Linked DNA regions of Arabidopsis thaliana. The protein of the gene in region 1 interacts with the protein of each later gene in a pairwise test. Each region holds a gene or a part of one and is shown on either strand. Other genes may lie near its edges. The genes, in order: AT2G18490 and ZAT11.

Region 1 (17,433 bases):
GACCCCCACCACCAAAAAGCTTCTCCATCTCCTCCAATGGCAATCCTTTCGTCTCCGGCAACATAAAGAAGAAGAACCACCATGCCGCCACCGCTATTCCGGCGAATACGAAGAACACGCCCCCTGTCGTGATCGCCTTCGTCATCGACAGAAAACTCATTGAGACCGTCGCGTTCATGATCCTATTAACCGCAACACCTATACTCGCTCCCTGAGCCCTAAGTCTCAACGGGAATATCTCGGAGCTGTACACCCATGTGATAGGTCCAAGCCCTATGGAGAAAAAAGCTACAAATGCATACGTAGAGACGATGCTTAAACTCAATGCCCACGCTAACCGCCCAAATCGCTGAACCATCGTGAGACTAACCGCTAAACTGGTCAATGCGAAGACCATCCCACCCGTACTGGTCAACAGGAGCTTTCTACGACCTACCTTGTCGAGCAAGAAAGTGGCTATTATTATGAAAAAGGCCTTAGTTAAACCTACACCGACCGTGGCTAGTAAGAGCTTGTCTTTCGAAACAACTCCGGCTTTCTTGAAAATTCTCGGGCTGTACAACACGACGGCCTCAATCCCCGTCGCATGCTCGAAAAAGTGTATCCCAACGGCCGCTATCAAGATCAAACGCACCGCAGGTCGCGGTTTTATCACCAACTCCCTCCAAACACTTTTACCGTGATTCTTCTTCTTAACGCCGCCACCAACTTCTTTTATCTCTGTCACATCTACTTCCGCAGCGGTTAAGATGTCTCTGAACCGTTCTTCAGCTTCTTCTTCCGTATTGGATACCAAAACCATTATTTTCTTGGCTTCTTCTAACCTACCTTGCATCACAAGCCACCTCGGCGACTCGGGCATTCTTGTAATCCCAAAAGCCAATATCAAAGACGGGAACGCTGCGATTCCAAGCATCAATCTCCATCCAAGTTTCAACGTCAGTTTCCCAAAACAGTAATTCGAGACATAGCCTAGTAAAATCCCAAGACTAATACAAAGCTCAGGTAGAGAAGTGAGAAAGCCTCTATGTGACGCAGAGGATATCTCGGCAGAGTAAACCGGAGCTATCATGAGAGCAAACCCTACACCAACTCCGGCAATACATCGTCCGACCATCAAAACAGGATAGTTTGGGCCGTAACCCATAAGAACTGAGCCCACTAAGAATATCACGGCGGAGAGAGCTATGGTGTAACGTCGGCCGATGACGTCAGACGTTTTCCCCGCCGTTAGTGATCCGACGAGTGCACAAAGATTCAAGATTCCGGCCAAAACTTCAATCTGAGTGTCGTTTATTTTTAGATCATCTCTTATAAATATCTGAGCTCCGCTCATAACTCCCGTATCTAAGGACAACACACCATTACAAAAAAAAAAATATTCGTTAATATAAAATCATTAATATAATTCCATTGAATATATCTTTATATGATATATGTAGAAAACTTTTGTTTGATATGTAGAGAATGTTAGTATGTTACCATATCCAAAGATGATAGAAATGATGGAAGCAACAATGGCACACCCGAAAGCGAACTTGTTCATATGAGGGTTTGGATCCGAACCGGGAAAATTATGACCATCAGCATGAACCATGTTGAGTCTTTTTCTTCTCTTTTTTTTTTTTTGGGTTAAATTTTAGAATAACTTGTTATATCGATTGTGTGCATTTACTAGTATATATATACACATAACTATATATGTCCACCACTTGCATCCATAGTGGAACAATGACGATCAAAAACTTCTACTGTTGTTCCACAGTGTTTGTGGGTGCCCACGTATTCTGGTACGAGAATTATATTTCTGCAAGATATGAATTTTCCTCAAGATTTAGACGTATACAACCTGAGAAGTATATCGAGCAAAATAAATTGAAAAGATTTCCAACAAAAAAAAAAAGTAGTGTAATCAGGCAAGTGTTTTAAGTTTTAACCAATACATACGTAAGTTAAAATAATAATTAAAAGGTTACAATGAGTTTAAAAAATGGTTTCGCACACGGTCTTCAAATAATTTGTGACGACCTTCGTTGAACTTGAACTTGGTCTTCTTGTTTTCAATTTTTATTATTTTTTAATAAAGGAAGTGAAGATTTTTATTAGATGCTATGTTACATGTAAACCCGATTATTGTAGTTTTGCAATTGCATGTTACGTATAAAGTTGTTCTCGTGAGTGGAATGCATGAAAAATTGTATGTCGTAAACTATTTATGAAACTCTAAAGCAAAAAGTTTCCGTTGTGAAGTCATATGTATGAGAATTCAGAATTGATCATTCATTATAGTAACATATGCTAGAAGAAGTTATATCCACCATTTTTAAATGGTAGGTCATCAATTTTAATACGATATGACCAAAAATATTGCTAATATTGTAAGTTAAAAGTCGCCATCTTCTTCACTTTCGGCATTTTCCTGATCTATGTTCAATAGTGGCGTAACCTTTAAAGATTCTTTTCCACATTTATATAATTTGGTGAACTAAATTTATACGGTGCATTTATTTTCAGTTGGTTTCTTTTTCTTATTGAAGTGATGAAGTCCAAAATTAAACTTGTTTTGACGAAACAAAAAAACTTGTATCCAACAAAAAGCCGTTGTTCTCAACAGACGAATAATACTATCAGACTATATGTATCATTACATAATGAAATTGATATCTGTTGGGAAAAAACTGATGTGTGATTTGATCAATAAATCAGAACATCATAAGTCATAACGTAACCTATAGCTCTGTTTGTATGTGCAAGATAAACAAAAATGTTTTTGGGTTCCAACTAATGTTCATTTTAGCATGATCGATGGAAAATTCTGAAATTGCCAATTCTATCATTTATATTTTTGTCATATGCTTTGTCAGTTTGGCTGGCCTAGAGTTTTACGTCCAATTAGTCTGTTGAGAACTGTATTTTTGTTTTTCTTACTCGTACGTTGTTGGAATTCTGAAACAAGATGTTATTACGCCTCCAGTATTAAATCAATATTTTACCCCGCTAATTATAACATTATATATCTTGGTGGACTACGTCCAATTTATGTTTAGTCTTTTTTACATTCGCTACTAATAAATTGGTATCATAACTTCGAATTTTCAACATGCTTTTGTAATCTGGTAAGCATACATTTGTAAAATTGTAATGAACATAAGAAGCAATATTGGTGTATTAGAGAGACAATAACTTATTTCAAACTTCTAGTTTTTCTAAATAATTCTTAGTGTATACGTTTTATAGATCTCTAAATCTGTTAGAAGTAAAGGTTTACACATTTAATGGATATACGATATATATATTATTAAAAAAGAAGAAGTAAATCTGGATAATCATCTAGCTAGTATCTATATATATAGTTGGCAAAAACGCTAACCTTTGGGATTTGTATACGTAAATTATGCAAATGCACAAAATCCATGTAAATAGTAAAGTTTTGATATGATTCCTTGAAAGTTATATTTTGGTGAGCTGAAAAAGAAAGATACGTGACGAAAAAGTAGTATTTGATTTGTTTTCTTGAAGAGCATATACCATAATGAGTAACTTACTCAAACAAGTAAATGGCATGCGTTTTTTTCTTTTCACTTTTAATTGAAAAGGCATATATTGTCGCTATCAAAAATCAAAACCAAACGAAATTTATACTATGAGGTTAAATGAATTTGTTGGGTAAGAAAATGATATACCTTCAACGCACGGATTACCTATCTTTAATCCAAAAAGCTTTGGTTTAAAGGCAGATAATCGATAGACTAGCTACGTCAGATCAGAATTTAAGTCCTCGAACCAACATTCTTCATGCTGAGTTTTTTTTAGTACGAACCTTAACATGCATTGTAGTCCAAAGCTGATTGGCATACACATCGTGTGACAAAATAACCAAGACAGATCAATCATTTAGGTCAACGATAGAAGGAGAAATCTTCTGGAAGAAGAGAAAGAGAAATTCAAAGTGAAATTGTGTGTATTAGTTGGGATACATTTGGCCGACACAACCAGAAAGATAAGTTTGGGGACTTTCCGATACAAGTGATAACTTGGGTAGGTTAGATCATCATATGGGTAGGTCTTATTACTTTATTCAAAAGTTTCACCAAAAAAACACGTAGTTCTTTTTTTTTTCCATCTAAAACTTTATTAGTTCTTTATTTGAACAATGTCAACACATTAGGATTTTTTCAAAATTCATAAATAATAAATAATGAAAGTAGCCCTTATTTTGTCAAAATTATCGTAATTTCTAATTGAATTTTTTTAGAAATGGTTTTGATAAAAAAAAAACTTTTTTACTAAAATTGAAGAACCCAACGAATCACTGATATGCATGTGTTAGTACAAATGCACATGAAGTGATGATATTTTGAGTTTTTGTTTCCAACATCACGAGAACTGATGATCAAGTTCGTGATTAGATGGAAAACAATTTGTAAGTTTTTTTTTTTGTTTTTCCGAAAGATTTTCAGATTTTTATAGATGTTCTACTAGAAGGACATCCGTAAGACAAGAGGCACACTTCCAGTTAGATGTGTTCGCGTCTTTTTAAACATTGAAAAAAACTTTGATATACACTTTATTAGTTATCTATAACTTCAGATTAAGTAAGAAAATACAATGTCGTTCAAAAAAAAAAAAAGTAAGAAAATGCAAATTTTTGTTGATTTTGAGATCACTTGGCACTTGGCAGTCCGGTTAAAGATTTAGTTATTTGGTTACAAAAATATTGTAATGATTTAAGGGGACAAAGTATTGTAAGTGGGATGAAGTGATGGACGCAATTCAAAATGTAACGGAGGCCATTAAAATTGGCCAAACTAATTGTTGGTACGAATTTTTGTGTGGCATGGTGATAAAGTTCTTGAAAATGTTGGGACTCGTTTTTTTTCCTTATTTTGTTTGTGTAAGAGCCAAGAACACATCTATGATTTTTGTGTGGCATGGTGATAAAGTTCTTGAAAATATTTGGACTTGTTTTGGGGATCAATTATGGGATTGGCACAAAAAACTCTATGCCTTTGTGAATTTAGGAACATCTATGCTTAAGCTGAATTATTTGACTGTTTAGGATATGATATTTGATTCGCTGCTTTTCTCGCCTTTTAACGCTGTCTGCTTTGCCTCTGCAATTGACGCAGCGAACAAGAGAAACGAGTTCAGAAAGTGACGTTGATGCTGATGCTGCTGAAAGTGACGTTGTTGATGCTGCTGAAAGTGAACAAGAGAAATGGTGGGAATGTGAGATATGCGAAGGAGCTGTTCTTCTTCAATTAAACCCAGTTATCATATTTTTTTTTCGATCTAGGTCTGCAATTTTTGGCATCGAATTTGATAACTATGTTGTTGGTGTTCAACGGAAATTAGTGATCTTCGTCTCGATCTGCAAATTTCAGTTTATTATATATCCTACACTAACCAATATTAAACATGTAATTTGATTTTGATTTTGTTTTAGAATTTGAGTTGGTGATTAAACTTGTTCAATCCGCATTTAAGATTGTACCCTTGGGTTTCCTATATACTATCCGCTTAGGGTTTATATTTCTTTCATTAAACTCTTTTAATTAGATCTATTGGGTTCACGGTGATGATGACAAAATTTTTTTGTAAATTCCAGCAAAAGAAACGATGTTGATGCTGCTGAAAGTGACGTTGATTGAGTTGATGGAGATGTTGTTAACGGAGAAGCAAGCACAACAGTGAAAGGTGAGAGTTGTGTCGTTGGAAAAGTCTCAACGATGAAGACGATGAATGCCAATAACATTGATTGAAAAAGAGGACAATATCGTTATTTCCTAATTTAACAAGTGCTTATTTTCATAAGCTTAACTCAAAAATGTCTTTTTCCTAGTTTATGGGCCAAAATATGTCCATTTTCGCAAAAGCCCCCTCGTTTTTGTTCCTTATTGTGTGTAAGAAGTAAGAACATATCTATGAATAACATCTTTATATGTGTGCACATTATGTGGCAGTAATATGTTGGTAAGATAATATTCTCATTGAAAGTACCTAATTCAGAGATTTCAAAAATTAATTTCTTCGTAGTTGATGTATAGTAGTTTTGGTTCAATCCGTATAAGAGCGTTTTCAAGGTAAAGTGGAAGACAAATTGGTTGCACAAAAGATATCCATAACAACAACCAGTGGAATAAGACTTGACATGATACTGCTGATATTATTAATCACAAGGTAAGATTTATGAGTGTACAAATAAGGCATATTAGGAAGTGTAAATAAAAAATTGATACTAATCACAAGGTAAGATTTATGAGTGTACAAATAAGGCATATTAGGAAGTGTAAATCAAAAATTGATACTAACGGTATTTGTGTTTGATACCCAAAAAAATATCTGTAATTGTATTGGCAAAAAGTATTTTAAATAAAGATTGAAGACAAACATGTACAATTAGATTTGGGCATTCAGATTTTCAGATCGGTTTAGATCGGATAATTCAGATTTCAGAGGGTTTTTTCTGGTTGAGAGGTACAAGATCTATTTAAGAACCGGATGAATTTTGGATTAGATCGATTCAGTTCTTCTTCCGATTAGGTCGGTTCTCAAAATTTATTTTGAAATCAGACATGGAACTTAAATATTTTCTGATTCCGATTTGGAACCCAAACTACTCAAAAAAAACTGAAACAATCATGTGTATAGATTGTTTCCAGTTTTATGGGTCGTTTGGGTTTTGGGGTTTTCAAGTATTTATTCAAGTTTTGGATTTTTTGGGTATTCATTGAGATTTCGGATTCTACCCCAACCAAACCAAAACTCAAAAATATATATTTTAGGATCTATTCGGATAATATTCACTATCCAAAAACGAACGGAACCGGATTTATTTTAACTCAGTTTCAATCGGACTTTAGATTGTATGCCCATGCAGGCTGAATATCATTAAAAAAAGGAAATTTGGAAAACTGACTTACAAAAAAATTATAATTAAGTAACACTACAAAAAAAAAAATGATATTCTTTATATTTTATATATTAATCCCAACTTTATCCTCTTTCCTTCTCTCTCTCTTTCTCTCTCCCTTCTCCGCCTCTCTCCCTACTTTTTTTCTCTCTCTCCTTCTCTCCCTCTCTCCTTCTCTCTCTCTCCTTCTCTCTCTCCTCTCAGCCTTTCTCCCTACCTCTTTTTTTCATTCTCTCCAAATGACCTCTTTGCTTATTTTTGTTTCTAGTTACAGTTAGTTAATTACCTTTTTGTGAGATTTATTTAGGTTATAAGCTTTGTTTTTTCTTTTTTGTCTTTTTTGAAACATAATTTTGACATCAAAATGCATATATGGTTTTAAACTAATTTATCACTTAATCTTTTTGTTCTTCATAGTTACAGACTCACAACATATCTACAATAAATTAGGGATCATTCTTAAATGTTGATAAATTAGGGATCATTCTTAGATCTAGAAGCGATAAATGGTTTACGATGGTAGAAATTCTAAAGGAAAATAGCCAATAAATCGATTTTGTTTTTGGAAGATTTTTGACAGATACTATTCTATTTTGTGAATATACTATTTACGTATACCTTGTACTATATACATTTTAAAATGAATTGTTTGTTTTGATTAAGGATGTTAAGTGATTTGATTAGTGTTTTATATTAAAAGTCTTGGGTTCCCTATATATTATCTTAGGGTTTAGTATTCTTCCATCAAAAAGTATTTAATTGATTATTTGGATTCATCAGAAGAAACATTTCTATTTGAACAAATATATACTATTCTATTTTTTTATGATGATATGTATAGAACTTGGTACCACTATTCACTTTTTAAAAAATTTGTTTCCGATTTTTAAAATTCAAATCATGTTAGATAAACAAAAAAAAATCCCTTTTTTTAATAGTATTATTAGTTTTAACCAAATAATAATTTTAAACTTACATAGCAAACAAAATTGAATGAGATGAATATATTTTGGTCACTTTTTTGGTTGCTCCACGCGCTACCATCTCTTCCTTGACAAGTTGAAGGAGTCTGTGGTCTTTTTAACACACACATGTGTTACTCACTATATTATACAGTTTATGGTGCTATATTCTTTATTTCATCTTCCAAATAGGTTATTCTTACAATTCACCCTTAAAAAAAATAAAAAGTATTTTTTTTTTGTTGCACTTACACAATCCTCTAACTACACAAACTTTTGATTTACTTAAGTTGTGACAACTGAACCCGGGGTCTAAAAGAACACGTGAAATATCCAGAACTTTATTCAATAAATTCTCATGAAAGGTCTTTAAAAACATTGCCATAGTTGCATCTTAAAAGCTTGAACGTAAGTAACAACATAAACAAAAATCCTTATTTGAAAATTGAAATCATAAACTTAGAACAAAGAAATGTCTTTGTTGAAATCCTAAAACCATGTTAGAATCCCGTCGTATATAGCGCCTTTCCACTCCGCTCCTAGTCCTCTCCTGCCACCATTTTCCGGGAACATGAGCAACAAGTTACTCAATGAGGACGATATTTCTTGCCCACATGATCCATAGAACGACAAGGTACAAGCAGGCACCACACAATTATAGAATAGCTAACAATATATATATGCTCTTGCAACCAACAAACAAGCAACAACAATTCGGTTCCCTTTTATCTGTGTGCACCCGTCTCCTCAGGCTCGTCAGTCGTTCACGGGCCGCAACATAGTAGTCCTATATATTTATGCATTTGGTCCGACAAGCAATCCTACAATATATCTTTCCCGGTCATATGGTACATGCTAACCTCTATCATCTCCACTTATCCCATCTCATTCTCTTTATCAAACCTTGCATATTGTAGGTCCTCCTATTTCTTCTTTAAAACTTTGCAATTCTCTAGGTTCTCCTTATCTCCTTTTAACAACCTAACAAGTTTCAGGTCTTGCCACACAATCATCACATAGTCTTATGCTTATAACATTATCACATAGTCAAAATTATTTCACATATCATAACTAGACCATATCTACACAGTACAAGAACAATAACAAAAGGTAACTATAGATCCACAAGTCACAATCCTCATCTTAGCGATAACGAGATGGTACATTTGGACGGAGATAGGTCATGCAATTATGACTTATTCAAGAGTTCCTCCCTTCAATTAAATTAAACGAATTTTAGTAATTAACATTGAATTTTACTGCAAATAACCTACTAGATTTGATTTAGCGCAAAGTAAAATACATAAAACTACTTATAGATTTAGGTGAATAAAGGATATAAGATATCAAGAAAAGTAGTAAAATATTGATGAATTCATTTCTTACATAATCACTCGTTCTTATAGAAAACTCATACTTTTCACACAAAAAGAGTATGTGGCTAAAACATTAAGTTCTCCGTTTTTCTTAAGCATTACGTAGATCTTCCTTTATTAGTATATAAGATATTTATTTAATTTATATCAGAGCTTACTATGTCTTAAATATAGTCTCACTTAATCTACAGAAGCTAAACTTTAGATTATGACTTATATTAGTCCACCGTGTTCGATCAGAGCAAGTGGAGATAAGCGGTATAATAAGGGTCTAAAAGCCTGGTTTGCGATGCCAGATTGAGGTTAAACTTTTGATTTAGTACATAAAAGTTCTATTTAACAAACATTGCATTCGATGTAAAATGGTATTTTTCTTTTGAATTTAATTTAACATTATATCCAAAAAAAAAAAACAAATAGTCCACCATGTCCTAAATTGTATCTCTAGCTCTCTCCTTATAACTTTGGACTCTCAGACAACGGCTCTCTAGTTAAACTTAAAGTTTATGCCCATCCTTTTTCCTATAGAATTATATTATAGGAGATATTCAAAAATTTATGTCTTTGTTAACTTTCTAAGATTGTTTGGTTACACAAACTATGAGACAATTTCATACCTTCAAACTTAATTATCCGCCTATCTTGTTCTTTCTCACACCATATCAACAAAAAAGACCTTGACAAATTCATTATTTATCATTTGCTACTGTAAATTAGATTCCAAAACGTAAAAAATATATCAGATAGAGTTTCCATGCAACATAACTTTATACAACCCACATGACAAGCAACTCACATGCTTTAGCTTAAGCATAAGAACTTGAAACCATTCAATTTCTTTAAAGTGACATAATAAAAAAAAACTTGATAAATTTAGAAAACAAAAATGATACATCACCTAATCTAATGAGATTTCGAATGAGTATATGTCATCATCAAAATTCAAATCTAATTGTTGGATGTCGTCGAAAAAAGAAGAAGCAAAATTTATGAGTTAAATGTCCCTCTAATATATTCCCTAGTAAATGGAAAACAATGTGTTATTAGATTGACTCATCCATCCTATTATTTTTTTCACTTACTTATTTAAATTATAAACTATGAATAATTTTTGAACAATAATAATCAACGAGTAAATTTATAGGAAATACCATTACATGACATATAATCAAACAAAATTAAGATAGATGATAAAACATCAACAAATGTCCCATAAGATGGATAACATTAAATGTTAATATATATAAGAAATTTGCATTGATTATTGTCTATATCTTCAACTACCTAATCTAGATATATGACAGAAGATCAACTTTTTTTATTCCATCCATATATTACCATATAAATAGAGGAGCTTTGTGGAAAAGAAATAAATAATTCAAGATTTTTAACTTATAAATATTAAATATGACATAATATTTGTTACCATAATGTAGATTTCTTTCTTTTTGTATTTTAAAATATATTTCCGTTTTTGAGATTTATATCATTACTTTTCTAATACGAATTTTGTATAAAAGGGTACATAAGCAAAGGGGATAAGATACACTCAATCTTAAAAAAAAAGTTTTCCATCCAAATAAGTTACATAAACCATCCTGATTTCTGTTTTCCTTCAAAATGAATCACAACTCCAAAATGATTCGATCAATGTTCACTACATCTGATTTTTCAAACCATAGGGATTTGTTTTCATCTTCTCCTTCTTTTTCTTGTTACCAAAATTCACATGTCTCTTCATCTTCTTTTGGATTTAACAATTCACAAGTGATGAGGAGAAACATTGATTATGTTTCCAGTACCGATTATTTGCCTATTAAAGATAATCCTCATCTTACTAGAGTTTCTTTCACTCAAACCATTACTAATAGGTATAGTTCTATTGTTCCTACCAATTCACTTGATGCTGTTCAATATGATATTGAACTTGTCAAACGTGCCATGGATTCTAAACCCAATATTTGGAATCCTGTTTTTTATCCTCCAAATTTTCTTGGTAAACAATGCGAGATTTTAAACCCTGAGCCTCTAAATGTCATTTTTCCTCACCAAAATTCTGGAGATCGTCAATATTTAAACATGTTTTCCTTGTCATCAAAGCATAACCATGATCAAAATGTTTTCCATGAAGGCCGATCTTCGACAAAAATCCCCAAACCAACCATGTCCATTGAAAAAACTACTGAATATATAGATTGTGAAGAAAACGAGAAAAGTGACGATGCTCAATATGATGGTCGAATACATAGTTTACCATATAAGAAATATGGTCCATATACATGTCCTAAGTGCAACAGTATATTTGATACTTCTCAAAAATTTGCTGCACATATGTCATCTCACTACAAGAGTGAAACGAATAAAGAAAGAGCTCAAAGATTTCGTGCAAGAAATAAAAGAAAATATCGTAAATTGAATCTTGAAGTTTATGGGGAGTCTCAAAAGATTAAACAAGAAGATGGGGTCCATAATGATGGAAGGAGTGACGACAAACCTATTCAACATCATAAGATTTTATTTCGTTAATATCTTTTTTTCAATATAATGCATATTGTTTTCTTTTTCTAGTATTTCATCATATTTGTTGCTATTCGTATTGTAACTTTTATTTTCTCTTTCAATTTTAAAGTTATTTTTCTATATTAAAAAGTTCTTAATTCTCTCTCTCTCTCTCTCTCTCTCTCTCTCTCTCTCTCTCTCTCTCTCTCTCTCTCTCTCTCTCTCTCTCTCTCTCTCTCTCTCTCTCTCTCTCTCTCTCTCTCTCTCCATTTTTCATAGAGCATTAGCCATATCCATCCTCGTTGTCGCTTTCATCGTCTTCAATTGAACCATAACCCTCGTCCTCGTCTTCATCGGTTCTTTCAAAAAGTATTGTTTCACCACCATTGTCAATATCCATGTCACCCCCTGACTCTACTCCCACAACATGTTCTCTTACTTTGGAAACCACATAACGGTCATAAATAGCTTATCGGTAACTATTTTATTTCAAATTAGCTATTATCGTAGCCACTAACTAACGGTCACTGAAAGAAAACAATACAATTAAAAACTTATATGTCACCATTATTTCAGTAGCTAGTTGTGGCTGATTAACAAATGAATGATTAACAGACTGTTTGGTGGCGAAGTATCGTCCACGTAACTATCGATGAACCACCAAAATGTCAAATAAATATTTGGTAGCCTGACGGTGGCTAAATGACAACAAATATGTGGCCTTTGTTAGCCACTACCAAGAACCCCTGGCCAGACAGTGGTGGATTCGCGAATTTCTTGTAGTCATAGATCTTAGATCTTACCTTAGTGCATATGATATATTTTTCTTATTAGAGTCCTCCACTATGTCTTAGATACAATCTCACTTACTCTATCAAAGCCAGACTTTAGATTATGACTTATTTTAGCTTAGATTCTTACACAATGACTCCTTTGTTAAACTTAAAGTTTATGCCCATCTTTATTCCTATATAATTATATTTTTGTCGTGGATCCTTCTTTAACTATTACCGCGACACAAACATCCATTTGCGAAGGTTCTATATATTGTTAAGACTTAGGACATATTGATAAAGTTTAGTTATGACTTTGTTAACTTTCTAAGATTTTTGGTTTAAACAAACCCTAAGACAAGTTCATTTATTCGATCTTATCCGCCTCTCTTGTTCTTTCTCACACTCTTAGATAACTTTCAACCTATACAACTTCTACATTTCAAACTTTTTGTACATATATTATCTAGGGGAAGAAAACAAAAAGCGTTGATAAACAAAAACTATATCAACAAGAAAAACCTTGAGAAATTCCTTCTATGTTGCATGAAAAAGGAAATTAATACGGTGGATAAAATATTAAAAATCAATTTACGAACGGGTACATTTTAGGAATATATATATATAATAACTAAACATTTATATTCAAATACGAAACATTAAAATCATACTCTTTTTGTTTTAAATTATTTATCGTTCAAGATTTCTACAAAAAATTAAAAAAAAACAATTAAAATTTCTACTTTATCCTTGTTTGATATATTCTCCAAAAAAAATTATTGGTCAAGTCATTAAAACTATGAAAAAAAAACTAGAATTTTTACCAACATCTGATTGAAAATATAAAACGACAACTATTATGAGACAAAATTCAAAAGCTAAAATGACAAAATTTATAGTAAATACTAAGATAGATGACAAAACTTCAACAAATGTCTTATGGATAGCATTAACTGTTAATATAAGAAATATAAGAAATTTACATTGATTATTGTCTATATCTTCAACTACCGAATCCAGGTATATTAGTATATGACCGAAAATCAACTTTTTTGTTCCATCCATATATTACCATATAAATAGAGGAGTTTTGGGGAAAATAATAAATGATTCAAGATTTTTCTTATAAATATTAAATATAATATAATAATAGTTAACATAATGTCGATTTCTTTCCTTTTGTATTTTAAAATACATTTCCGTTTTTGAGGTTTATATCTTTACTTTTCTAGTGCGAATTTTGTATAAAAGAGTACATAAGCAAATGACATAAGATACACTCAAATCTTAAAAAATGTCTTCCATCCCAAATAAGTTACATACTAACCGGGATACTTCTATAAACCATCGTGATTTTTTCCCATCAAAATGAATCACAACTCCAAAATGGTTCGATCGATGTTCACTACATTTGATTGTTCAAACCATAGGGATTTGTTTTCATCTTCTCCTTCTTTTTCATGTTATCAATATTCACATGTCTTCATCTTTTTTTGGATTTAACAATTCACATATGCCCTATCATATGATGAGGAGAAACATTGATTATGTTTTTGGTACCGATTATTTGCCTATTAATGATAATATTCGTGTTACTAGAGTTTCTTTCACTCAAACCATTACTAATAGATATATATAGTTTTATTGTTCAAATAGGCCATGGATTCTAAACCCAATATATGGAATCCTATTTTCATCCTCCAAAATTTCTTGGTAAACAATACTATATTTTGAACCCTGAGTCTCTAAATTTCATTTCTTCTCACCAAAATTCTGAAAATCGTCTACATTTAAACATGTTTTCCTTGTCACCAAAGCAAAACCATGATCAAAATATTTTTCATGAGAGTCGGTCTTTGAAAAAAATCCCAAAACCAACCATGTCCAATGAAAAAACTGCTGATTATATAAATTGTGAAAAAATGATAAAAGTATCGATGATCAATATGATGGTCTGACACATAGTCTACCATATGAGAAATACGATCTATATACATGTCTTAAATGCAACAATATATTTGATATTTCTCAAAATTTTGATGTACATATGTCATCTCACTACAAGTATTATATGGATAAAAAAGGAGATTTTGAGACTTCGGACAAAAAATAAATAATTAAAAATTGTACGAGATATAATGGTGGAAATAGTGTCGATGAACCTACTCAACATTTTGAGATAGTTAAAGAAGAGATTATTTAGGATTTTCTTTCCTTGAGATTTCTTTTTAACCTAATGAATATTGTATTTTCTTTCTAGTATTTCATCATATTTGGATATGCGTATTGTAATTTCTATTTGCTCTAAATTTTAAAGTTATATCAGTTATGTGGTCTCTCTCTCACCCTCGTTGTTTTTAAAAATATATATCATGTTTAGATTAAGTCTCCCGTCTACATATATGATATATCCAACTAGTGTATATAATCTTAAAATTTCAATGCAAATTACTGCACTATAGTGAATTAGTGACTAACTTAAAAAAAAATTAAAATAATAGTCACAAATATTTTATTGGAATTAAATATATTTTACATGATGAACACCATTATATCAACAAATTAAAATATATGACAAAAGGTTAACAAATGTCATTTGACTAAATGTAAATATCTTAACATATAAAATTATTTTTGAGTCAAATCGTTATTGTCAAGTTAGGATTAATTAAATATAGGAATTATTGTTGATTCTTTGTACAGTTCATGGGCCATTTAAGTTTTAAGAAAAGCCCAAGTTAATTATCAAAACCCAACATAAAAGGCCAGAGTTTTCTGTTATTGCTTTTTAATACTATCCAAGAAGGAAAAATAAATTATGTTTTATTTTATTTTATTAAAAAGTAAACATAATCTGGTTTTGTAATGGAATCGATTGAATTGACATTTTAACTCTAGACTCTTTAACTAGTAAAGGAGCATCTACATTATATATTTTTAATGATTAAACGACACAAGTAGAAATGTAATCATATTGTAATTTTCCAAAAAGGAAGAAAATAAATAAAGTTGAAAAATATAAATATATGGGAAAGAGATGGAGAAAGATGACTTTGGGGCATGAATCAGATTATATTGTCTCCTTGGATCCTTTGGTCGTTCCCTACTTCGCTTCTTCATTCTTCAAAAATGGATCTTTTTTGTCTTATCATACAACTTTTCACCTTCTTTTAAATATAATATATAATTTATTATTGCAAAATTGGCTTTTTTAAATCCCGAAAGTTTTGAAACCGTATCTTTCAATCTCATAAAAGAGCAGTGCTAATTAATACCCAACACAAAAAAAACTCAAATAATTTAGGTAAACTTTTGACGAAGTGTATAATTACGAGTCAATATTAACAAATGTTAGTTAATTCAGCTGACAAGTGTTTGTCGAAGTGATATGTTCTTCACGTAAAATGCCTTTTTAAAATTATTAGGTTTTTCGCGCGGTAACTTTAAAAATTTGTTTGATAGTAGTTAAGTTAAAATATTATAGTAAGACTAAGAGTATACATTTTCTCAATACATGTGATTGGGATGGTAGGAAAATAGTTACTACTTTCAAAAACCTGATAAGACAATGGATTATCGCATATTCTTTCTTTTAAGGTAAGTTGACTATTCTGGACTTTGCTAAATGTCTTACAAGATTTTGGACTACTCTTTTGCTTGTTGGTTGCTAGCTTCAAATGCAAGCTAACAAGAACTGTGAGTTCTTTTTGGACTAGTCTTATTATGCTTGTTGGTTGCTAGATCCAAATGCAAGCTAATTCGAGCTAAGTAGAACTTTTGTATCGGTCAAACTCGAGTTACATCAATCTTTGATGCCTAGGGGTTAGGGTTTGTATAATTTTCTTAGGATTAGCTTGTCAATTTAAGTCATAAGTATATACAGTATAAAAAAATAGGTATCAACATTGACATCATACATGTGATGACGTTACAAAAATTATTTTAATTACATGTAATTTATTACAAGACTAGGCTAAACATGATTCTGTGCGATACTACGATATGTAATCAAAATTGTGAATTTTTTTCCAAAATATCTTTTCGATTTTTGAAAATATGTATTAACAAAAAAAATTGATCTAAATATATAGAAAGCAAGAAAGTATTTAGGAATAAAGACAAAAAAAAAAGTTCTAAAAAAGAAATGTATTTTGTGGTAAAAAATATAAAACAATTTAGACAGAATGTTGTTGTTTTGTATTTTAATTTAGCCGTTTAATTTCTCAACCTTTCAATTTCATAGGTGTTTGACTTGTATATGCCCACACATGGTTATGTCTTTAGTTTTTTTTTGGTACAAACTATCTTATTCCTATTAACTAAGATCGATATTTAATAAACTCTCAAGTCAAAATGGTTATATCACAATTCGGTATCTTGTTTATGATCGATACAGTATCATCATTCTACTGAAGAAGTAATCGAGAAAACGTATATATATGAAATCCTACATATAAATACGTTTTCTCGACTACCACCACTTCAGAAGAACGATGATGTGCAACTTTTCCTTCACCATTGCTATTGCCAACATCTCTGCAAATCAAGCCTTAGACGTCCACTTAACTAATTTGGGTTGCTTTTGAAAACGCAAAGTATATACATATCACACACATTCTGACCCGTCTAATGACATTCACGGTTCATTTGATCATTTAACTAAGGTAAGGTTTTAGTATGGGCAAAAAAAAGTAGGGATTCGTATAAATAACTTATATTGCAGCTGTCAACAAAAAAAAGATAATTAGTAAATGTAATGTCGGTATAAAGCATACTAAAGCAGAGAAATATTATACAATTTTATATACTCCAATATAAAAGTGTTTGCATATATATAGAAGCAGAAGAGACACAAACAGTTCTCATTTGGTAAATGCTCCATACTTTCTTCACTTCTCCAACAAAACACA
Region 2 (17,264 bases), 7.7 Mb from region 1:
AAATCAATGATAATAATGAGCTAATGATCATTTTTTTAATTTATCCATCTCCAATAGTGCTGATTCCAAATTCTTTCCCCAAAAAAAAAGAAGTAGTAAATCCATCTCACATATATATGATTGTATTGGCAAAAGTGTTTATTTAAGAATAAAATCAGAAAGTAGTAGATTTACAATTCCTTTTTTTTTTTTCCCTTTTTTCCATGTTTACAAATCATAAAGTTGTTGGATTATTGGAACAATTTTTTGACTGAAATATTTAATATCATAATACCTGTAAATAAATAATCTAGCAATATATGAATACTGAGACAAAAAAGAAGAAGATATTTGCGACTTTTAAAAAAACTTTTGAAATTAAAGGTAGTGTTGAGCTCTCTAGTAATTCGAATTTGGATCTGCTTCCACTCCCAACGGTTACTTACCCTAATCTTTTTTTGTTCTTCAAATTCTCTCTCAAACTTGAAAAGAAGTCTCTCTTTCGATCTCCAGGATTCGGCTCTGTTTCCTGTAAGTGAATCTTATTTAGAATTCGAATCTCTGGGATTCTGATCCAACCTTTCTCAATTGATTAGGGAATTTGAATTTGATTTCACAGAAATCGAAGATGTCGTTTACGCCAGAGGTGGTATCAAGGAAAAGTGGAGTAGGAGTGATTCCATCACCTGCACCGTTTCTAACTCCTCGTCTCGAGAGAAGACGACCTGATTCTTTCTCTAACCGTCTCGATAGAGATAATAAAGAAGTCAATGTTCAAGTGATTCTACGATGCAAACCATTAAGTGAAGAAGAGCAGAAATCTAGTGTTCCTAGAGTCATCTCTTGTAATGAAATGAGAAGAGAAGTCAATGTTCTTCATACTATTGCTAATAAGCAAGTAGACCGTCTTTTCAATTTCGACAAGGTTGGTTGGTCTCTTTCTCTACTTGATGGTTTTGTATTCAAGGGTCTCTGATGGTGTTTATTCTATAGGTTTTTGGTCCTAAGTCACAACAACGGTCTATATATGATCAAGCTATTGCACCTATTGTTCATGAAGTCTTGGAAGGTTTTAGCTGTACTGTGTTTGCTTATGGACAAACAGGAACTGGGAAGACTTACACTATGGAAGGTGGAATGAGGAAAAAGGGAGGGGATTTACCTGCGGAGGCTGGGGTGATTCCCAGAGCTGTTAGACATATTTTCGATACTCTTGAGGCGCAAAATGCTGATTACAGTATGAAAGTAACATTCTTGGAGCTTTACAATGAGGAAGTTACGGATTTGTTAGCTCAAGATGATTCCTCAAGATCTTCTGAGGATAAGCAGAGGAAGCCCATTTCTTTGATGGAGGATGGGAAGGGTTCTGTGGTTTTAAGAGGTCTTGAAGAAGAAGTTGTGTACAGTGCTAATGATATATATGCTCTTCTTGAACGAGGTTCATCTAAAAGGCGTACAGCTGATACTTTGTTGAATAAGAGAAGTAGTCGATCTCATTCAGTGTTTACTATCACTGTCCATATAAAGGAAGAGTCTATGGGAGATGAAGAGTTAATCAAATGTGGGAAGCTTAACCTTGTGGATCTAGCAGGATCTGAGAATATCTTACGGTCAGGAGCTCGAGATGGCCGTGCACGAGAAGCAGGAGAGATTAACAAGAGTTTGCTTACACTAGGCCGTGTGATTAATGCCCTTGTGGAACATTCTTCTCATGTACCTTACAGGTACTTGCCTTGTCCTACAACTATATATGTCTACTGTGGTAATATTTGTGTTTTTTGAAAGCATACTTGTGGTTGCAGGGATAGTAAGCTGACAAGGCTTTTACGGGACTCTCTAGGAGGAAAGACAAAAACTTGTATCATTGCTACAATCTCTCCATCTGCTCATTCCCTAGAGGAAACTTTAAGTACTTTGGATTATGCCTATCGTGCCAAGAACATCAAGAACAAACCTGAGGTTTTGTTTATGCTACCATATCTCATCTTTATTTATCAATGTACCCTTAATTTCTATCCTTCTAACTAGACGTGTCTCTGCAGGCAAACCAGAAGTTATCCAAGGCTGTGTTGCTTAAAGATCTTTACTTGGAGCTTGAGAGAATGAAAGAAGGTATGAACACAACATTCTGTTCTATATTCTCCAGATTTTCTTATGTATATTATCAAATGAGCTATTGGATTAGTTAAAATTGTTAAACAATCAATGCAGATGTAAGAGCAGCAAGGGATAAGAATGGTGTTTACATTGCACATGAAAGATATACACAAGAAGAAGTTGAAAAGAAGGTAGATTCAAAAGAAGACACTTAAGTGTATATTCATTTTATGCTGGGCTTAATGATCACTTTGTTTCAGGCGAGAATTGAGAGGATAGAACAGTTGGAGAATGAACTAAATCTCAGTGAAAGTGTACGTCTGCCTCACATTATCTCTTAACATTAAAGTGTATCTGTACGTTAGAAACTAAATTAATTTTCTCCCATTGGAACTTAAGAGGCTTCTTTTATGCAGGAGGTTTCCAAGTTCTGTGACCTTTATGAGACTGAGAAAGAGAAGTTACTGGACGTTGAAAGTGACCTTAAGGACTGCAAGGTGATTAGAACTTCCGTGACTTAGTATCCAGATTATTCATCCTTTTAGTGAGAGTTTTCTTGAAATTTCAAACATTCATGATCCAGAGAAACCTGCACAATAGTAACAAGGACTTGCTAGATCTCAAAGAGAATTATATCCAAGTTGTTTCAAAGTTAAAGGAAAAGGAAGTCATCGTCTCCAGAATGAAAGCTTCAGGTAACAGTTCTTACTCAATACTTTTTCTTTACATGCTTCCGATTTCTTGGGTTTGTTGCTTACTCATATTTTTCTTGAACAGAGACTTCTTTGATCGACCGTGCAAAGGGGTTACGTTGTGATCTGCAGCATGCGTCAAACGATATAAATTCGTTGTTCACAAGATTGGGTACTTCTTCTTTCCTATTTCTAAGGGTGAAAATAAGATCTGTCATGTGCTGATTTTTCTTGTTTCTGCAGACCAAAAAGACAAGCTGGAATCCGATAACCAGAGCATGCTTCTGAAATTTGGATCACAACTTGATCAAAACCTTAAAGATTTGCACAGAACAGTTCTTGGATCAGTCTCTCAGCAACAGCAACAATTAAGAACTATGGAAGAACATACCCACTCATTTCTTGCTCACAAATATGATGTAGAAAAAAGACCATACTTATGTCAATTCACTTTTTGCTTTGAACCAGTTGATCACACTAGTGGTTGATTTACTCACGCAGGCAACACGCGATCTGGAATCAAGAATTGGGAAAACATCAGACACTTATACTTCAGGAATAGCAGCCTTGAAGGAGTTATCTGAAATGCTACAAAAGAAAGCCTCCTCTGATCTGGAGAAGAAGAACACTTCTATAGTATCACAAATAGAGGCTGTTGAGAAAGTATGAACAAAATCGAGCTATGAAATACTAATTCACCTCTTGCTGTGTTTCTATATCTTAGCATGTGTTTTGGTAATAATTCAAGTGCCTTTCTCTTCTTAGTTTCTCACTACATCAGCAACAGAGGCTTCTGCAGTCGCTCAGGACATCCACAATTTACTTAATGATCAGAAGAAGCTCTTAGCACTTGCTGCAAGACAACAAGAGCAGGTGCTGTAAAAATCACTTTCTGGATTCTTGTTAGTTTTACTATTTTTCTGAAAATTCAAGTTTGTTTTCAACTTATCCAGGGCTTGGTCAGAAGCATGAGATCTGCACAAGAAATTTCCAATTCAACTTCAACCATTTTCAGTAACATCTACAACCAAGCCCATGACGTGGTGGAAGCCATTAGAGCAAGCCAAGCAGAGAAATCAAGACAGCTTGATGCTTTTGAAATGAAGTTTAAGGTGAGCTGGGACAAACTCTTAAAGACTTCAATTATATATGTTCTGAGAGGTTCGCACAAACTCATCCGTTTTGATGAAAACAGGAAGAGGCTGAAAGAGAGGAGAAACAAGCCTTAAATGATATCAGTCTGATATTATCAAAGTTAACTTCAAAGAAAACTGCAATGGTGAGTCTTTAACCATTATAACCCCCTTAGGCTTGTTTTATTCATCAGTTGAATCAAACTTAAAGACTGATGCTCTATGTGTTTCTAGATTTCTGATGCATCAAGCAATATCCGGGAACATGACATACAGGAAGAGAAGAGATTGTATGAACAAATGTCTGGTATGCAGCAAGTCTCGATTGGTGCAAAGGAAGAATTGTGTGACTATCTAAAGAAAGAGAAAACTCACTTCACGGAAAACACAATAGCTTCAGCTGAGTCTATCACAGTCATGGATAGTTACCTTGAAGATTGGTATAAATTCCATCTCCCCACTGCTTTCTATTCAAACCTCTCACTTAATTTGCATTATGTCTTCTCATACAAAGATTGTATTTATTGCAGCTTGGGAAGGGCCAATGATTCTAAAACATTGTGGGAGACCACTGAAACAGGCATAAAGAACCTTAACACGAAGTATCAACAAGAACTTAATGTCACAATGGAGTAAGTTTTTAACTTCTGTATCCGTGCATCTCTCTGTTTCCACATCATTTCACTGAATAAACTATCTACGTATAGGGACATGGCAAAAGAAAATGAGAAGGTGCAAGATGAATTTACATCCACATTTTCCTCAATGGATGCTAACTTTGTCTCTAGGACAAATGAACTTCACGCAGCTGTTAATGGTAACCACACTAAACCTCTGTTCCATTCCCTACTCAAGAACTACTCAAAAACGTCCTAATCCTTGGTTTTACAGACTCATTGATGCAAGACCGTGAGAACAAAGAAACAACAGAGGCTATAGTAGAGACTTGCATGAACCAGGTCACATTATTGCAGGAGAATCATGGACAAGCTGTTTCAAACATTAGAAACAAAGCAGAACAGTCTCTCATAAAAGACTATCAGGTACTTAAGCAATCATAATGGAAAATCTATAGTGTGATCTATATGTGTATACATTAACAGCAAAGCTTTGGATAAAATGAACAGGTTGATCAGCACAAGAACGAAACACCAAAGAAACAATCCATAAATGTGCCAAGCCTGGATTCGATTGAGGAGATGAGGACTTTGTTTTCGCAGAATACTCTCAGCGAAGAACACACAAGTTTGGAGAAAATATCAACAAAACAAGGACTTGGCGAAGCTAACAACAGAACTCCATTCTTGGAAGTAAACAAATGAGTAAAAAAGAAAGCTTATGTTCATCAGCTGGATGAGTGTAGAAGATTAAGACTGTGTAAAGGTTGTTATGTAGTAGTACGCAAGCTTATGTTGTCATGGATAAATCTGGTTATATTTTGACATTAAACCGGTATGCAGATTGCTGAAATTTTAGATTTTATGGATGACGTTTCCGGTTAAATTGGCTTATTTTCTCATTTGAGTCAACCAAATATGAAAAAAAAGAAAAGTAAAGAGAGAACAAAAAGAACACAAGACTTTGCATTGCTTCCACAAGAAAACATAATAAAGTCAAGAATAAGCACATACCTCTAATAGTCTAATTTACCACTTTTTTTTTTACTTTGACTTGCTCTTCCATAAAATTCAATTGCTGTCGTCAAGAATCCGTCACTGGTGACGATTTCAGTATTGAGCTCTTATTACTATCTAGATGAACAATGTATCAAAAAGGCTTTTGTTTGGTCTCTAGTGCATGTGTTTGACCAAATTGAATTTTCTCTTCGAACAAGGTAATGATTGTATTCGAACTTGGATCTGAAGATTACTTTTGTATTTTAGCTTTGCGCAAGTTTGAAGATTTATTTTTTTATAAAAAAAAAGTCTTGAAGAATGTAGTTTTTTTTTTACTATACAATAAAATATGAAAAAACAGTTTACCAAAGGGGAAGAATTACTTATTTAGAGCTCTTTAAGGCTGTATTTTCCAATGATTAGTCTAAAGTACATTGAAATCCTTAATTTTATATTTTTTGATTAGGATACAGTTGGTTAGGTGTTGATATAAATTATTAAGTTATGCCTGTGGCAAGCAAGTCCATGAGAAACCAAGTTGCTTGATTTATTCTGTGTTGTGTACACATGTGTTGACTATGCTACTTTTGTTAGATTCACATTTTTAGCAGTAGAAGTTTCTAAGAAATGAGAACTATGTGATGTATTACGGGAAAGACGATATTACCCTTGTTATTCAACACCCGTGGTATGCATTGTGCCGGCGGTCGAAGGGTGATATTGAAAATGTCAACTTGTCTCAAGTCAGAGAATCAGTGCTCTGGTAGTTGTGTTAGATAGAATATTAGTTTAGACGACTTCTTTTGGTCAAACTACTAGAAAGTCCAACCTTTTAGGTAATTGCTCTTATATAAATATACATTACTTCTAAGTTCTCAACCTTCATTACAAATCCTCTCAATTCAGGTTTCTTTTCTAACAAGCAAAAACTCCAACCTTTACTTTATTTTTGTTTTGTTTTGTAACCCTCTCAGATCTTAATTCTCAAAGAAGTATGAAGAGAGAAAGATCTGATTTCGAAGAATCCCTCAAGAATATTGACATTGCTAAATGTCTGATGATACTAGCACAAACCTCCATGGTCAAACAGATCGGTTTGAACCAACATACCGAGAGCCATACAAGCAACCAATTCGAATGCAAAACATGTAACAAGAGATTTTCTTCGTTTCAAGCCCTTGGTGGCCACCGGGCAAGCCATAAGAAGCCAAAGCTCACCGTTGAGCAGAAAGATGTGAAACATCTTAGCAACGATTATAAAGGAAATCATTTTCACAAGTGTTCCATATGCAGTCAGAGTTTTGGGACCGGACAGGCTTTAGGTGGTCACATGAGACGGCATAGGTCAAGCATGACGGTCGAGCCATCGTTCATCTCTCCGATGATTCCATCCATGCCGGTTTTGAAACGATGCGGTAGTAGTAAGAGGATTTTGAGTTTGGATTTGAATCTGACTCCGTTAGAGAATGATCTTGAATATATCTTTGGGAAGACATTTGTCCCAAAAATAGATATGAAGTTCGTTCTTTAGTTTTTTTTTTCTTTATCTTTAAGAAGACATTTGTCCCAAAAATGATTCATTTGTATTGTAATTCCTATTCTTTTAATTCTTCAAACGTTAATGTCAACAAACTTCATGGTATATGTGTGGGGTCCCTACTCCCTATATAGTATATTCATATGTGCGTTCTTGGTTATCATGTACGCTAGAAAAAGATTTTAAACTAAATTATTTAGTTTCCATTCCTGGAACAAGTACAACATATTCATAAGCGGGCCAAATTTTGGGCCATATCCCCTATGGAATTGGAAACATATTCCTTTTGCCTTGGCATGTATGATATGCAACAAAGGATCCTGAATATATTACGTTTATCATTTTTTTGCCAATGGCTTGAATTTATATTAGATGATTTTTCTCTAGACAATTGCAAAATTCTATTGTCGTCATCACTATCGTCGGATATTTCTTATTTTTGCCATCATCATGTAATTTAGGATATGACATGCTTTGATTATTATCATTTTTTTCAGTGGCTTTAGTTTTGATGTTAGATATTATAAATTTATAACAAGCTTGATCCTCTCTAGTTACCTAAATTATATTGTCGTCAACTCGTCATCACTAGTGTAAAAATATCTAATTAATTTCTTCAGTTTAATTAATTTCCATTCAATTTTGACAAAAAGAAGAAAACAAATCGAAAAAAAAGAGAAGAATGACCGTTCGGAATTAAAACAATGCATGAGTTTTTAACTCTTATAGCTCTTCAGTATAACTTGTTCTTTAATGGCAGTAAAAATAAAGAATGTAACTTGTTTTTCTTACTCTAATGTCATTGTACAGTCTGTTATATATTTTGCTTCTATTTCTTTTAGTTACATCTAAAAAATAGGTGTAAGACACAGTTATAGGATTTATAGCTATAGGTCGCCAGGTAAAATGTACATAATTATGTGGGAAAACCTTAATTTCTGCTTCTGCATTTCTGCTTCCGTCTTTCGGCTTCTCAAGGTTTAATTTATGTTTTTTAACGCCTTTCAACACTTAAAGCACTACATCGCCGTGTTTGTAAGATACTTTCTCTCATTCCTTTTAGGTTTTTCTCCAGCGCGTGTTTATTAATTAGATTTAATATAAAATGAATTTTATCATCTCAGTTCTTTAAATCTTCATCATTATTTCGTCAAATACATTAAAATAGCCAGAAAAAATCAGTATATAGATGCTAGATCATGTGTTTGTGTGTGGATTTTATTTTCATTTTTTCGCCTCATTCATTATTTCGCTTGATTCATTATTTTGCCTAATTCATTACTTAGATAGTTTTTGTATACAATAAAAATGCAACTTTTGTGTTATACACTAGTTTTATGATTCTGAATGCTTACAACTTTTGTCTCATATGGTTTTCATCTCTTTTAACCTTTGGATTTTTAGATACAACATATTAGTGCAGATCTCGTACGTTTTGTGTTGTTCTTCACAGTGTAGAGATGATAGATAAGAGAAGAAATACAACAAAAGTGAAAGGAAAAGTTCGAGCAACTGATGACGTGGTAAACAGTTTTTCCTTCCATTTTTGTAGATTAGTGATATCTAAAATCTACGTATTATTATTAATGTAATTTTCTTTTTTTTTATACATGCATTTTCAGAACTACCAGATATATACAAAAAACTTGTTTTTTTCATTAGGAGTGTGTAATTACAGTTTGTTTATTTCAATGTGTGTTACAATTTTTGTTGTTCTTACTTACACGATTTACCTAAAGGTTTTCCTTTCCAATATTCTTGGAAAATAGTTCAAAATAATAAAATGGTTTTGCGGGAAGTCACTGATCAAGGAAATATGGGTAAGTCTTTTTACTATGTACCTTAACATTTACTTGATGAATGATTTTATAAAAACGTTAGGTATTAGTACAAGATCAAATTAAAAGGTGACGCCATTGTTTAGACATGTCTTAAATTAGAGAAACTTAACCTTAAAACTTGACAAAAAGTATATTTCCTTAATTTCAAATAATTCAACCTTAAAGCTTATACGTTTGTTGTTCGTCCCTGGAAAAATTTGTCATTAGATTTCTTATAACGATTTTCCTTAATCAATCACAATTACTTTTGTTTCGTTTACTTTTTAATGAGAAATAATAATGTGCATGATTTAATCTGAATGATAGGTTACTGTTGGACCATCTCTTACAACAGAATGATTGGGGGCCCATTTATACATTCATGGTAGAATTCCTTCTGGAATTCTCTTCAAAGCATCTATTTGCCCAAATTGAAGAAAAAAAATCAAATGGGAATTTAAAGAAATACAAAGGATTGATAAAATTTCTTAAGGATAAAGGGCTGGTTAGAGAAGAGGATTGCAAATGCTTTAAAGAACAAAATGACGTAACTTTACCTTTCTAATATTTTATCCTTACAGCCTTTTTAGTTTTTTCCCACTCATTATCCTTTCTCTTTCTTTTCAAGTTTCACTTTTAACCAATCTGAGACCCAAACTGAATCCCTTAACCATACATGTTGATTAGTGGGCCAAATTTAGGGGCCCAGCCTGAGTTAGTACTAATGATTTTATTACTTATGTATTACTAATGATTTCCGGGTCGAATAGCAATACGGGTAACAGGTCGGATATTTTAAAAATAAATCTGATACTCGATCCTTACGTACGGGTAATAGAATTACATTATTTTTTACCCGACTAAGTTTACTGGTACCCTTTTTTCAAGACTGGTACGAGTCGGGTAACATGTATCGTCCTAGTTGACAAAATTACATAATTAAATTTATAGGGTTCTTGTTTAATATTAGGGTTACTGTTTTGTTCATACACGCAAGGCGAATTCGATGGGGGATGATTTACCAGGTACTGAGGTACGAATTCAACTCTGTAAAATTTTGTTTATATATCGGAACAAATCCCTAATAAAGTTAGATATTTTTCCTGTCTCAGATTGGAGAAATAAGCTGGAACCTGTGTTTTTGGAATTTGAGGATGGTTGTGTTCCTGAGGAACATTATTATCCGTGTATAAGACGCCGTGAGGATGAAGAGCCCAAGATCTCGGCGGAAGAAGAGTATTACCTCATGGTGAAAGAAGTCGAGGATTCCAAGGTTTTCTTCATGTTGTTGATTCTTGGTAAAAACTATAAAGACAGATTTTAGTCTGTCAAGTTTTCTTTATCTGTTTGGAGAATTCATCTTGTGTGTTATATAGGGTTTTGACATCGATTTCGCCAAGTTCCGCTGCGTTTTCAATTACCGACCAGTTGATCTCGATGACAACGAGTTGGCTTTGGAACCAGAAACTACCAGAGAGTTTATGGACAGACTGTGTCGGAAATCCCTTGAGCATTTCAATGAAATTCATAGTACAAAATATGAATTTGTCAGGTTTATCAAAGCCAATCATCACGTCTCTGCTGGCATGATGTATTTCATTACCTTTGAAGGTAAGCTACTTTCCAATGATGATGACTCAAAACAGTTCCAAGCTAAGCTCTGCTATTGCGGTGGTACCCCCGAAATCATCTCATGCGAACTCAAACCCTAGAGAAAAGGTAAATTCGATGCTTGGTCTATCTTTGTTTTCTTTTCTGTTGACTTCAGTTTGTTACTGGTTATAAAATTCTGTTCGGATTTGTTTTTGGCAGTTCACTCCATCGAAGCACCGGAGAAAGAAGATCCCAAGAAACCAAGGTTTATATATATCTTGTCTTTGTTACTTTGATCAGTCTTTTCCTTTCTTTGTCTTCTTTCTTACGGAAGGAAGGTTCTTTTACACTGTCCTGAATGTTACTTTTTGTTTTATTGACATCTTTAGATTGACACTTGAGCCATCTAATGTCAGTCTAATACGGGTCTGAGTGGGTGATCACACGCAAGCACTCTCGTGACAATTGACCGTCTAGTTCTATGATGATAATGTAAACTTGATTACCAATATGAAACAGTGTCTTTACCAAAAATAGCTAATAGTTCATAGCTAAGCTAGGACCCAAAAAGATAGAAAAGTCTATATGAAACAGTTGGCAAACTCTGTAATGCTGATTTAATTTGTTACCCGTGGTTCTTGAAATAGTCTTCATGGTTGTTCTCTTCGAACTAGCTAGGAAAGTGTCTCTAATGCATCGGTCATTATGTTTAAAAACAACTGATGCAGGAGAAAACAAGGCGTTGTGGAGCCTAGTGGTTTCATTCTTTCCAAAGCATGTATACTGTTGCATCTGTGAGTCGCAATATGCTTTAAATTTGAGAGATAGTTAGAAAAGCTGATGATAGCCACAATCTAAGGAAAGATGAAACTTGGTACAATGTATTTACTTTTATGCTCATAACATTGTAACAGATCAAAGTATATCACAAGTAAATAGCAGCAGAACGGGTAAACTCGTTTCTTTAATACTAGTACCAAAGATTTAGCAAGTGCAAAAATCAAGGTCATACATGCATTCGCTTCTAATTACGACCAATATGGCAATAATACAAAACATTAGTACAATAATCAAGTAGCCTTCTAATAGTTGATTTTTTTTTTAACACTGTAATTATAAAGTCTGCGTCAACTGAGCTTAACTTTGCGTGTTGAAGAAAGTCAAAGGTCCTCTATTTTGGAGCACGCAATTAATTGCCAACTTTAGCGACCAATTAAAAAGTGTTTTAGTAACATATGATAGCCACTACTTCTCATCTACCACTATCATCACATGGTCCACATGTAGTATAGTTTACTAAATATTTTCATGCGAACAAGTACAAATATATAAAAGACAAACATGTAACATATGCATGCGCGGCGTCAAACATGATGAATCATTTTGTAGTATTGTAGAATGTAGTTCGATGTATCAAGTTTTGATTCTGAAAATTTGGTGACTTAAGTTTACTGAAGGACTATGTGTTTAATTAGTTTTTAAGGGACTCACTGGTTCAGCATATATGTATGTAGAATGCATGCGTTTATATGAGAACTCTCACTTTTTCATCAAATTTGGACGAGTTTTGAAAACGTTACGGGGACAGACATATAACTATATATAACACATAGCGAAACATGGATCCATGCATATGAGATAACACACTTGTTTCTCATCATCGTATATTCGTATGTATGCATAAAACATATTCTCCACTAGCTAATCTGTCAAATGCTTGTTATATATTGCTCAACTTTATTGGTTAGTGATGGCCCAGTTTGGTGTGTACCACTAAAATTGCATAATCTTAAACAATACCTAAATTCTAGCATTCAGGAATTTCTTTTTGGATGCATGAAATGCTCAATTCTATTAAGTATTAGTTGATGCATGAATCACGTATATCACATTAACGTCTATATATATCCCACTTATCTCAACAAATCATTGGTTATAATTATCCTATTAACTAATATTCGGAACATCCCACTTAGGTCGGTGGTGGTGCTTCCAAAATTTTAGGACTCTAGTAAAAATGGAAATCAATCCCAACGAACCCGATGGTCCAAATTCGATTCATTGTCTGCATTAGAGATCGTAAAGAATTTTTTATTGGTCTTAGTGGGTTGTTTAGTCATCAAAATAATAAAATTAATGTAATATTCTTCTATTAACTATATATATATATATATATATATATTAATATTAATATAATGCTTGAATAGGCTAGTTATAAGAGGTTTAAACCATACCCTGCTTTGGCATGAAGTGCAGTTCGTGTTATTCTCAAGCGATCTTTCACGTCATTGCTTAGCTAGTTACTATTAACCGAATGTCAATAAAGCTCATTGAAACTCCTAATTCAAAATAGTAATTACTAGCCATGTTATAACAGTAAAAGATTCCAGTGGCCAAATCAATAGGATCGACACATGTTTTTGGATAATCGTCCATGATGTAGTAAACTGATATAGTATGACGCAAAAAATATTCACTACTTATATAATTTTGAAAGATATCCAATATAAAATATCAACCTTTTATAATTTGTGAACGTTCGGTATGGTATATATATATATATATAAATGTAACAACGTTTTTTTTTCGTTTTTTTTATGTCAAACAAAATTTCTATTCACTTAAACATCAAAAGAGTCACGGATAGGATCCAATAATAACATTTTAAGAAGTTGAATACATTGAGCAAAACATGTAGTCTTGTGATTAGTGTTAGTGATATCACTGTACTACTAAATTCAAACTCACAAGTATATTATATATTATTAGCAAACCAATAACTAAAATATATTTCATTCAAAAACAATTAACCAAAATATATAATTCACAGTTAACACATATACTATTGTTTTAGTTAGAATATATATGAAATTACTCTAGCTTCCGCTGCCCAACCCAAATCTCAGCAGTTACTTGTGATTGCTTCCAACCATAACCACACTCATCGGAATCGAGGTCCTACCACAATCACACCATTTAATTAGTATGAAATTGTGACTACTTAAAAAATAGATAATAATAATCTTCAATTATATATATATCACTTGATATGTTTTATGAAAAAACAAATTTCCTTAAAATGATAATTTTATAGTTTATACTTTATATATAACCTCGTTAGTAGTTCATATTATGTTTAATTCATTTATTTATAGTAGCATATATCTTATGATTCTTTTCTTACTTTTTTTTTATGTGCAGCAGATCTTTTCTTACTTAATATTTTCTAATTCTCTATCATGGAATTTTTCTAAATAAAACAGTTACTTGATGAAAAAAAAAAGAGTTACTTCAAATTTTGACTAAAAACGAAATAAAGTTCCAGTATATTATATAAGTTAACTAATTTATATTTTATATATTTGTAACTAATTTTTTTTCTCAGTAACTTTTCCCATATTGTGCTTTTAAGGCTAAATGCTTTTCTAGTAGAAACTTCTAAGGAAAAAAGTGAACCTGTGTGTCTTAAGAAAATATCTTACAAATTGCTAAATGTTTTTTTTTTTTTTTAACAGAACGGCTAAATGGTTTTCAGATGGAAAGTTCTACGAATAACGTACGGGGATTAGAATTACATCAATCAATTAAAATGAGAGCGATATTTATCACGATTTGCGCATATTAAAGAGGCATAACTAAGAAAAGTGGGTCACTCACTTGCCTGCCAAAGCTGGCCATATGAGAGCACTTTCTCGGAGAGTAGTGGTACCAACTTCCCTCTCTACACAATCATTGGTTTCTCAAGTCTATCATCAAAAGTAAAATTGATTAATGGTCTTTTGTATTAATTATAGACTTTTCTTCAAAAATAATCTTTACAAAAAGTGTTATATGAAGCCGTAAAACACATCCGATTTCTAACTAAGTGTATAAGTAAAACATATATATACCCGTTACATCTGTCCAAAAAAAAAATATATATATACCCGTTACACATGTATATGGTGTTGGTTGAAACTAATGGACTAAATTTAGCATAAGATGACCAAAGGACATACATGAGTTTGGTTGTTATGCTATTTTAGCGCTTGTGTTTACGTTGTTACATAATAGTTAGATTCTGAATTAGATATTTCACATCTACCTAGTTCCAATTTATATCTGAATTTGCTTCTGCAATATATGATCATGCATGGCACTTTTACATCTCATTAACATTCATAATTGTTTTACATTCTTCCCTTTTCGAAATATAGATCGGACATGTGCATCTATTTGGGAACTTAACTTTTAGCAAGTGAGTTTAATGATTAGAACACTTGATTCTAGTCACTAATCACTAATCATATTGGTACAACTCTAATAATTGGATTATACTTTCGTTCTTTAGCCTTTTTCTGATTTTTATTCTCCTTTTGTAGATTATTAACCAACCCCACTTTTCATTGTTCCATACTTCCCCATTCCATCTCAAACGCTCGTTAGCCTTTTTTGATATTTAATTAATTAACATATTCTTCCAATCATACTTTAATATTGTCAGGGATTTTGTAGATATATTCACCTTTGCAAAGAAATTAACAATTCTTGATTAGTTATACGTATTTTCGGTTTATTAGTCGAAAGCCATTAACTCCGAGTTTAAACTTCGTTCAAGAGTTCTAAGAAGTAAGAACCCTTTATTTTTTCTTGCATCAAAGATATACCTTATCAAAAAAATTGTGATGATATAGATGATTTTGATAATTAAAGTTTCTTTTATATGTGAATTTCAATGTACGTCGTAACACCGCGACGACAATAACATAAATCAATATCCTAAAAATCATGATATGATCATCATAAATTAGTTTTTATCTCTTTATAAAACACTAATCTTCATTTATTTTCATCAATATATATATTGATGAAAAAGTTATATAGACTTTTCATTTATTTTCTGCCAATAATATGTAGACCTTAATTTAATTACCTCAAGTTTAGTGACTTAACAAACCAAAACGTTATATATATGTGATACTGAATATATGATAGACTATGACTGTTTTATGTTTAAACATAGGGTTCTTTTCTAATCTAAGCATTAGTTCACAAATCACAACCTATATACTATCCATACTCTCTAATTTCGAGCGTTTTAATGGCTATACTCTAGTTGTTCGGTTCTAAATTTTTTCTGTTTTGTTGTAGGCAAAAACAATACAAAATTTCTTGTTGTTACTCGGATCTAAAATTTTGTTTTAAACTTAGATTAGACGACACCTAGTAAAACAATTGTGATCACGGGTCAATATATGTCTTAAATTGTAAACTTGAGTATTTGTCCTTTTATGAACTTCACTTGTTTTAGTCAATAATTCTTTTCCTGTCGACCTCCTTGGTTTATTACTTAATGGCTGAAAATGTTACTTTAATGACACATTCATGTAATCAAGAATTCAACTTTTATTACTAAGATTATAGTATTCAAAACATTTTTGTTGTCAAATTCCATGTCTGTACGTTGACATATATACGATAATCGAAGACAAATGCTCAGAAACGAAATATGGACAAATATGACATATAGATCAGTATCAAGAGATTTGAGATAATGAAACATTACTTGTCGTTTGTAAAATCCGACGTGCCTGTTAGGTCGCCCGCATTATTTCAATTAATTTCCACAGACCCGTAAAAATAAGCCACAGTTGCAAAATGTTAAAAACTTTTAATAGTTTAATTCCAAAGGGGAAATATATAAGCGATAAAAATATGCACATTGGAAGCTTCTTCGACTAGTCAAACGTCTAAAACTCCGAAAGAACAATTATCTTAATAAGTTAATTAGCTTTAGAAGAGAGATTAATAATTGTTAATACATGGGGGAACATGGAACTTCATTTCTCCTTGTATAAAATGGATCGATAAGATCATATCCATGGTGAGAGAGACAGGAGATCAATAAATGCGAGAATTTAACCTACCTGATCTATATATGTTGCGTTAATATACGGACCGTAGATAAATCAGGACGTGTCGTCTAAGATTATGTGATTAGTTGGTTATTAATTATATTTAAATACATGTTTGTGGAATTCTGATTTGTACGAAGACTAAAATAATAAAGGAGCTCCAACACATGTCCTAGTGTTAAGCACGATGACGATTCGTAGGTTTTTGTGGGTTAGTCAACAAAAGAGCCTTCAAAAGTTCAATTTTGCCGAGGTTTTTTTTCACCCATATAGGCGTCTGTATATATAGATGGCTGATGGCTCTAATAAAGATGTTAATTAAAAAAGTACAAGAAAATGTTTAAAACGTTCAAGGAAATCAGTAACGTTATTATTCAATGGTGTAGGTTGCAGAAGTATATATATATTAACTAAACATTCATGAAAAAGTGTCCAATATATAACTTTGTCTATTGTGTGTAAACTGTGTGAAGATAAATAATTGGCTTAAACCAATAATTTCTTAGGATTGCTGCCCTTTTACATTTTTGAAGCATGAGAATAATTTCATAATTGGTTTTATATTTCTTTAGATATATTCCCGAAAGTTAACATGTTTGAAGATAAAAGCAAAATAGTACACATTTTCAAAAGAACTTAACTGATTTGACCAAGACATTTGTACGGTATGTGTCAACTCTGCCAAATGCAGTTTGATTTGCAGTATTTTCCACGTCTGAAAACCTTTTTTCCTTGAAAAAGCATCTTCTTTTGTTTTAAGGAAACTAGGTGTAAATGTATGTTGCTAATATTAAATATCACAACCAAATTAGAAAAAGAAACAAAAGTTTCAAAAAAAAGTATTTAAAACTCCCATTTTGGTAAGATTCAAAATGTTATATGTACCACTGTGCTAAAAAGTTT

Evidence for each region.
Region 2: the proteins of AT2G18490 (region 1) and ZAT11 interact in a two-hybrid assay, tested with the Arabidopsis thaliana proteins (one large-scale study listed by BioGRID).

What each region holds. Positions count from the first base shown.
Region 1 is NC_003071.7:8,009,647-8,027,079, forward strand, and holds AT2G18490 (C2H2-like zinc finger protein), read left to right. Parts: upstream 1-10,809; 5' UTR 10,810-10,871; coding exon 10,872-11,777; 3' UTR 11,778-11,930; downstream 11,931-17,433. Other genes in the region: AT2G18480 (Major facilitator superfamily protein), read right to left, coding at 1-1,347, 1,483-1,597.
Region 2 is NC_003071.7:15,699,943-15,717,206, forward strand, and holds ZAT11 (C2H2 and C2HC zinc fingers superfamily protein), read left to right. Parts: upstream 1-6,342; 5' UTR 6,343-6,511; coding exon 6,512-7,048; 3' UTR 7,049-7,282; downstream 7,283-17,264. Other genes in the region: AT2G37420 (ATP binding microtubule motor family protein), read left to right, coding at 608-904, 973-1,703, 1,782-1,938, 2,022-2,091, 2,191-2,267, 2,337-2,390, 2,493-2,573, 2,660-2,771 and 11 more; AT2G37435 (Cystatin/monellin superfamily protein), read left to right, coding at 9,881-9,899, 9,987-10,147, 10,251-10,586. UniProt on the Arabidopsis thaliana protein: Probable transcription factor that may be involved in stress responses.